Linked DNA regions of Rattus norvegicus. The protein of the gene in region 1 binds, or shares a complex with, the protein of each later gene. Links are inferred from orthologs where the notes say so. Each region holds a gene or a part of one and is shown on either strand. Other genes may lie near its edges. The genes, in order: Yap1 and Smad1.

Region 1 (4,470 bases):
TCATTAACACAAGAAACCAGATTTCTGGAGAAGAAATTTCTGTGTTTAAAATCAGTGTTGCACAACTCTGGAAATATACTCAAAAAGCACCAAACTGCTTAAGTGGAAAACTATAGTTATGTGAGTTATATTTCAATGAAACTATTTTTTGTTCTGTACCTCATGACTTCAACAAGGGACTGAAGAGATGGCCAGTCACGAAAAGTACTGGTTCCTAAGAGGATCCAGGTTCGAATCCCTGCAACTACATAGCTTCTCACAACCAGTTGTACTCCAATTCCACAGAATCTAACACCCTCTTTCGGCCGCTGTGAGACCTAGGCAAAGACATATATAGTCAGGCAAAACACCCAATATCAATAATTAACTTAAAAAACACAGATTTTTATCATTTTTTATTCCAAATAGGCTTCTGATAGAAGACTGACACACAGAGAACGGGGTTAAGGTGCTCTCCATTGAGGTTCGTGTCCTGTTCTCTTCACATTGTCTAACCTTGTACCAAGCACAAGAAGGAAAACCAACATGCTCCTTCAAGTTCAACAGTGACTTTTGTTTGGAGTTGATGTTCCCAGTGAAATATCAAGTCTTGATGTTAAAAAATTGGCATGATTTTTCACTTAAAAAAATGGTTTGCTGAGCAAGGCTGCCCACATTTGTAATCCTATCCCTTTATAGGCTGAGGTAGGGGGAGCGGAAATTTAAAGCCAGCCTCAGTTATGTAGTGAGTTGAAAGACAGTCAGTGCTCCAAGTGAGATGGCTCAGGGTACCTGAGTTCGATTTCTGGGACCCACAGTCAGGAAGAAAACAGATCCCAAAAATTGCCCTCTGACCTTCACCTGTGCAAGTGTGCTCACTCAATCAATATAATTAGAAAGAAGAAAGGAAGGAAAGAAGGAAGGAAAGGAAGAAAGAGAAAGAAAAGGAAAAGAAAAAAGAAAGAATAGAAAAGGAAAGAGAACGAATTTACAAAAACCGGGCTAGCAGAGGCCCTCACTTGGGAATCCTAGTAGTCGGGAAGTTGTGGCACGAAGATTGTCCGGAGTTGGAGGATATCCTTGGCTACAGGGCTAAACCTGCTTAAAACAAAACTTTTTAAAAAAGTAATACTATGCTTCTTTTTGTTAGATACTCTGAGTCAACTCCTGGTTCCAAGCTTCACTATGTAATCATTTACACCCGCCCTCAAGTGTTTTGTTGTTTCTTCTTCCAACTTGTGGTAAATGGAATCAATGTTAAAACGCGGACCGGATTAAAATCAGTGCAGGCGAACAGCGTCGCCTTTGCATCCAGCCTGCCCAGCGGGCTGTCGGGATTTCTGGCGGCCTTGGCGTTGCGCGCCGGTCCGGCAGGGTCTGCGCCCGCAGACGCGCCGCTCCGGGCCGGCCGGTGGGTGCGCACGCAGCGCGGTCGCCTCCGGGTCACGTGCGGCAGGGAGTCTGCAGGAATGTAACGACGCGCAGGGAAAGTTTCCCGGGGCCCGCGGATTCGGTGCGGGCGGGCGCGCAGAGGAAGGAAGAGCGACGAGGAGGCGGAGCCCGCGAGGCGCGCGGGCGGGCGCTCCTCGCAACTTTTTAGTTTGGGCGTCTAGAGCCGAAGTTTCTGTCTCAGTTGGGACGCCGCCGCGGCCCGGGGCAAAGAAAGGGAGGAAGGAAGGAGCTCACGAAGGGGAGGGGAGGGGGCCTCGGGCAAGGAGTGCAGGGCGATGCGGGCGCGCGACGCAGCCCCCCGAACCTGAGCGCAGCGCCCCGAGCGTCGAACGAGGCCGCAGCCATGGAGCCCGCGCAACAGCCGCCGCCCCAGCCGGCCCCGCAAGGCCCCGCGCCGCCGTCGGTGTCTCCGGCCGGGACCCCCGCGGCCCCGCCCGCACCCCCGGCGGGTCACCAGGTCGTGCACGTCCGCGGGGACTCGGAGACCGACCTGGAAGCGCTTTTCAACGCCGTCATGAACCCCAAGACGGCCAACGTGCCACAGACCGTGCCCATGAGGCTTCGCAAGCTGCCCGACTCCTTCTTCAAGCCGCCTGAGCCCAAGTCCCACTCGCGACAGGTAAGGACAACGCGGGGGCCCGGGGCCGCGTGGGGGTGCTGGGCTGGGGGTTGTTTTCGCGGAGTTGGCGGCCGCGGGGGCAGCACAATGCGCGCGCCTCCGCTCCGCACCTTCGCTCCGACCATGGGGGAGGGGAGGTGGGGGGAGGGGGCCCGGCGTCCCGTGCAGGACTCCAGGCCTGGGGTACACGGTCTCCCCTTCCCGCTCCACTGGAGTGTCCCGTGGAGCCGCGTTAACTACCCTCTTGTTTTCCCGTGTCGGTGAGGGGTGGGGGTTGAACCGGTCCATTGAGTTTCTGGTTCCTTCTCGTCCCCTCCCCCTCCCTCTCCCGAAAGCTTTTCTGCTCTCGCGGCCCAGGCGCGGTCCGGGTGCAGGGTTCGGTCTCCCCTGCCCCGGCGATCCCGAGAGTTGGCCGAGCTCCCTCGTCCTCCGCTCGCCTCTGCGGTACCCTGGAACTCGCGCGGGCGGGATCCTTTCACACTCGGTGGGCTCACGTGTCCCTTTCCCAATCGTAACCTATTATTTACTGTTCGGCCCGAAAGCTTTTAAATGAGCCACGTCTGTGCGTTGCGCAGGAGCTCGGCGCGCTCACGGTGCAGAGGTTTCTGCGCTGGCCTTTGATAGCGCGTTGCAGGTTGACTCATAGGCCGAGTTCTGCCTGGCTCAACTGTGATTAAAGGTAATGTTTGGGAAGCAATGACTAATTCCAGGCTCGCCATTGCTCTTTAACTGACTGCGGATGTGAACATGGCTGCTTATCCACATCCACGACGCCTGGTTATTTTCCCAACTGGATCCAACACAGAAGTGAAACCGTTTCAAAGTATTAACATTCCGATAGGTCCTGGTAGATTTTTCTTCAGTGTCTTTTTCCCCTCCCGAACCCCCCCCTCCCCGCTTTCTCTTTTTAATTACTTAATTTTTAAAGAACTTGCTTTAGGCTAAACCAGTATAGGATCTTTGCCCAAAACTTAATTGGTTTTCCAAACACTGCCATGTTGTTAGCCCACTCGGGCTGTAACTTGAGTGGAAAGAAGAGTTTCCGCCCCCACTCCAGCCCCCCTCCTAGGCAGGCCTGCTGTAGAACCGGGTTGTTGGAGCCACGAAAATCTCGATTAACCTCCTACAAAAAGTCTACTTACGGAGGAAGGAAAAGTTATGTAGCTGCTAGTCTAAATAAACTCTTAATTTGTAACAACAGTAGACCTAGATACTATTCATTGCTCCCTCCCCCAAGTGGGATTCTGTACTCACTGAACTAATGTATGTTGGCATGCAATTGAGAAACGGTCGGGGAAACTTTGAAGGAATATCCAGACTGAACGCTCCATTTTGTAGCACTTAGCAGTCAGAAGGAATGTACCCGGGAAAGTATGCAGTACCTAGTTCCACTGGGTCGTTCGTGGGTACTTTTGCCTTCTCTCTATCGTTTTCAGAGAAATTCACCTTTTCTATGTGCTAATGATTTCCTAAAATTTAATCTTACCTAGAAACTCAAAAACAGGGGTTTTTGCTATGGGGCTTTAAATGACTGCTGAGGCCCTTCAGTCTTCTTATCAAAATTAATTTAGAAAAACAAATGTTTTGATAATCCTAGTTCCAATAAAAGGATTAGATTATGAATAGTATGTATCTGAGTTTGTAAATAATCATCTATAGGCTCCTGCCTGAGAATTCTTATATCCCCTCTGGCTTGGAAAAACTACTTTACAGACAAGTTCATTCCTGATACCTGTCTAACATTGATCTGACTAGACCCCAAATTCGAATCATTGGGGTCTTTGCAGATTTTTCCTTTCTCCCTCCCCCTGTTATTTGTGTGTGAATCCACAAATTAAAACTGAATTGATAAAGTCTTTATTTTCTAGGCCTGTTCTCTTCATTGGGGAGCTTTTAGCATTGGTGCAGTTCTGAGCCTCTGAATTCATTAAACGTATAATTTATAATGGTTGATTTATTGATCACATTTGTTCACAGTCAAAGTGACAGATGGGGGGGACATTAGATATTTAAAACAAAGAAAAAGTGCACAGTCATCTCCAGGTTTTGTTCTAGAACCTGGAAAAGCAACCACACTGCTTAGAAAAATTACTGATTTATTTATTTTGGGTTGTATGGGGTAATCATTGTTCTCTGCTGCTAAGTCACCTTATTAGCCTAGTCCTTGTTTTCACACTGTCTAGGGGGCAGACATTAATTCACATGGACTGTTCGTCAGTGAAGTAACATTTACATTGTGCTGACTTTCCTTTGCTGTTCCTCATAGGCCAGTACCGATGCGGGCACTGCTGGAGCCCTGACTCCCCAGCACGTTCGAGCTCACTCGTCTCCAGCCTCCCTGCAGCTGGGGGCCGGGACACTCACGGCCAGTGGTGTTGTCTCTGGCCCGGCCGCCACCCCTGCTGCTCAACATCTCAGAC
Region 2 (3,815 bases), on another chromosome or scaffold:
TGCAGGAATAGAAAGTTATTGCCACACTGGTGACTGGTTGATAGCAGGGCAGTCAGGCAGAGGTTTAAAAGTTTCTCAGAAGCTTTCCTGATTGCAAAATCAACACAGTGTATGCACGCTCATAAGCATTGTTTTCTGTCACTGAAGCACTGTTAGTATTTTCCATTCTTTACGGTTTCACACCCTGCCTTGATTTTCTAAGATGAGAAGTCATCTTTATTACCAGGAAGAAAGTTTCTTTTCTTTTCCGTAGTTTTCTAGCCCTATGTATCGGTAGAGATGCCGCATGGCGTTTCCTCGGACAGTCACGGTAGCGCCGTGCCCCAGGCATGGACAAGGTTTGGAGCCACACCACTTTTGCTGGGTGCTTGTTCCCCCTCGGAGGCTTTGAGGGCTTTCCTTCTCCCTGTTTTTAATCACTTCCTGTGTGACGGGAGTCACGTGGCATCCAGAGGGCAGCTTTGCAGGATTGATTCCCCCACCTTCAGCAGGAAAGGATTCAGGCCGCTGAGCCCTCCTCCCCACCTTCAAGGTGGGGTGCTGGCATTCATTCTAAGCTGGGAGACGTTTTCAGGCATTGTTTGTAGTGGTTATTTTGGTGAGCTTCTATTTCACACACACGCGCGCGCGCGCCTTTTTTCCTATTTCTGAAGCTTTTGTTTTTAGCTGGACCTCCCACCTTTCAGCCCCCAGTAGGACTTCTTCCTCCCGGGTTTCATCCCTCCGTGTTTACTGATCATCGCTTCCATCTCTCTGAAGTTTTCTGAACAATTTAGCCCTGGCATAAATGCAGGGGACTTTAAACACACAGGATGCCCCAGTGAACTCTAGGTCCTACTGCACTCTATTTTTAGAGCACAGATATACTTTCAACCCTGGCCAAGTGGGACATTAAATACTTACTGAAATGAAAGTGTTATACTTTATTATTTTTGAGAGACTTTGTTATTTCCTGAACATGCTGACTGACACAAGGGTAGCATAGTTAACTCAGAGATTTGTCAGAGCAGCCCAGCCTGACTGCCAGGGCACCTGTCATCCAGATAACAGCCGGCTGACTCGGTCTGTCTCTGTCTCTCACAGGAGTCCACCTTTATTACGTCGGAGGAGAGGTGTATGCGGAGTGCCTCAGTGACAGCAGCATCTTCGTGCAGAGTCGGAACTGCAACTACCACCATGGCTTTCATCCCACCACGGTCTGCAAGATCCCCAGCGGGTGCAGCTTGAAAATCTTCAACAACCAAGAGTTCGCTCAGCTACTGGCGCAGTCTGTGAACCATGGGTTCGAGACAGTGTATGAACTCACCAAAATGTGCACTATTCGAATGAGCTTCGTGAAGGTGAGCAGTGCCCACCCATCTCATTCAGGCTGGATACACACATACGCACACACAACCACACACATACACACAAACATACATACACCCACACATGCACACACAACCACACACACACCACCACACACACACAAAACCACACAACAACACATACAACCACACACACACACACAAACATACACACAACCACACACTCTACACACAAAACCACACACACAACCACGCATACACACTCCACACATAAACTTACACACTCCCTCCATTACACACAGATGCTCACACACACATCTGTGCTTCCCCCACCACAAACACGCTGCACACACACACACACACAGAACCACAGACACACCACCACACACAAACATACACACTCCCTCCATTACACACACACAACCACACACACACAACCACACACACACAACCACGCATACACACTCCACACATAAACATACACACTCCCTCCATTACACACACACATGCTCCCACACACACATACATGCTTACCCCACCACAAACACTCTGCATACACACATGCACATGCTTCCACCACACACGTACACACTCTCTCGCAGAATATGAATCTGTGCCTTCTTGGTGTATCTTCCTTTTTCAAACCTCTACAAGAGGGTCAGTGTCCAAAAAATTGTCTTTGGAACATAGCGATGTAATCTCTCACCGTGTGGGTCCCAGGGATAGAACTCAGATCCCCAGGCTTGGGGGCAGGCACCTTTACCCAGCTGAGCCATCTTGCTGGCCCTGGTCAGACCTCTGTTGCTAGAGAGAGGGTCTGACATTGCCCAGGCAGCTGGGTCGATGGCACTGGGGAGGTGTGTCAGCTCTGTGTCCAGAGTGGCTAGGCTTCCTGACCTGTGTGCTGCCATTGCCCCATTGTGGGGTCTCTGGGACACTAGGCCAGTACTCTCCCCACTGCACTATGTCCCCAGCCCCATAGCTGCTGTCATAGCATAGGGAATGCTATGTATTCAACAAGTAGCTTAAATGCATGGCCGTCCTGTGAGATCAGCTTTCTTCCTCCTGTTCTTTGCTCTTAGCTCTGAGTTCACAGGATGCTGGTGCCTACTGGCTGTGGGCTGAATGCACAGGATGCCGGTGCCTACTGGCTGTGGGCTGAATGCACAGGATGCCGGTGCCTACTGGCTGTGGGCTGAATGCACAGGATGCCGGTGCCTACTGGCTGTGGATCTGTGGTCAGCGCATGACCGTTTAGGTGCCTTCAGCAGTTTGATTCCTGGGACCCACATGGTAGAAAGAGAGAGCCAACTCCTACAGGTTGTTTTCTGACCTCCACATGTACACACACACAGGGCTGGGAGGGCAGTAAATAGATGTAAAAAAAAAATAGTGAAAGATGTATTTATACTGGAAATTCTTTTTAGTTGATCAGATGCTTTTCGTTAAAATGTATTTCTAGTAAATTATGTGTTTTGTGTATAATTGAAAAGTTAGCAAGGCCCTGGTTCCAAGAGAATTGTGTGATATCAAAAAAAGGAGTCATTGCTTATCACAGATATCTCCTCAGTCCTCTTCTGCCACTAAAATTGAAAAATTTTTTTGATGCCAATGAAATGTTTTTTAAAAAGGGCACATCTGATGACAGCACATTCTAGCAACCACCTTGTCTCTGAAGCCTCGAAGATAAGTCTTTATCCCGCTTTACCTTGAGGAAGAGCGCTAATTACAAACCTGGGCGAGGCAGTCGTCTTTCATGTGCAGTCTTCAAAAGCTCTGTGACTTCTCGCCGGGCCTGTTTAGCGGTTCATCACCGGGTGATTCCAGAGCTGTGCTCTGCCCATCATCACCCAGATCAAAGGCACCCTTCCCCGCCTTAGCTGAATGTGGCACCTCTTTAATATTAAAGGAGGCCTTTTTTTACCCCTTAAAGAAGTTGACCTGTATAGTGTGTGCAAATACAACCACGGAGCCTGTCCTTGTTCATTTTTCACAGGCACCATTTAATTTTTGACTCAAGCATTTTGGCTCAGGCGATTTACAAAATGAGACCAGCTTCTTGCCAAAGTGGTTTTTGTTTGGAAGAAAGAACCCTTGAGAGCGGGGGTGTTTGGACTGTGGTGGAGACATGGGTTGTTCTCAGACCTCCTCATGGTCTGTAGGGCTGGATGGATCTGGGCCTTTGGTAACCGTGCCTGAGGTTCCTTGGTGGGCTGTGATTATTGAATTCTTGAAGAAGTTTTGACTCCAATAAGCTATCTCCTTGGCATCTGTTTCCTACTGATCACACTAACAGTTAAATGTTACTTTTGTACAACTAAAAACATTTATTTACACTAAGGTATTTAAAAGTTTTTTTTATTCATATCAGTGTGTATATTTATGACCAAAACGTGTGTGTGTGCTGCTGGAGGCCACAGAGGGTGTCAGAGCTCTCGTAGCAGGAGTTATAAGCTACTGTGAGCAGTCACGGGTGCCTGGAACCAAACTCAGGTTCTCTGGTGGGGC

Evidence for each region.
Region 2: the proteins of Yap1 (region 1) and Smad1 are in contact, whole or in part, in an NMR structure (PDB 2LAW), measured with the Homo sapiens proteins. The link is inferred for Rattus norvegicus from reciprocal best matches to the Homo sapiens genes YAP1 and SMAD1. Residues at the interface, in NP_001123617.1 of Homo sapiens: Glu237, Ala239, Met240, Thr241, Tyr247, Ile249, Asn250, His251, Lys254, Thr255, Thr256, Trp258; in NP_001003688.1 of Homo sapiens: Thr222, Pro223, Pro224, Pro225, Ala226, Tyr227, Leu228, Pro229, Pro230, Glu231, Asp232, Pro233.

The regions. Positions count from the first base shown.
Region 1 is NC_086026.1:13,448,529-13,452,998, reverse strand, and holds the start of Yap1 (transcriptional coactivator YAP1 2), read left to right. Parts: upstream 1-1,561; 5' UTR 1,562-1,774; coding exon 1,775-2,050; intron 2,051-4,316; coding exon 4,317-4,470. UniProt on the Homo sapiens protein: Transcriptional regulator with dual roles as a coactivator and corepressor. Critical downstream regulatory target in the Hippo signaling pathway, crucial for organ size control and tumor suppression by restricting proliferation and promoting apoptosis.
Region 2 is NC_086037.1:45,469,291-45,473,105, forward strand, and holds part of Smad1 (mothers against decapentaplegic homolog 1), read left to right. Parts: intron 1-1,083; coding exon 1,084-1,340; intron 1,341-3,815. UniProt on the Homo sapiens protein: Transcriptional modulator that plays a role in various cellular processes, including embryonic development, cell differentiation, and tissue homeostasis.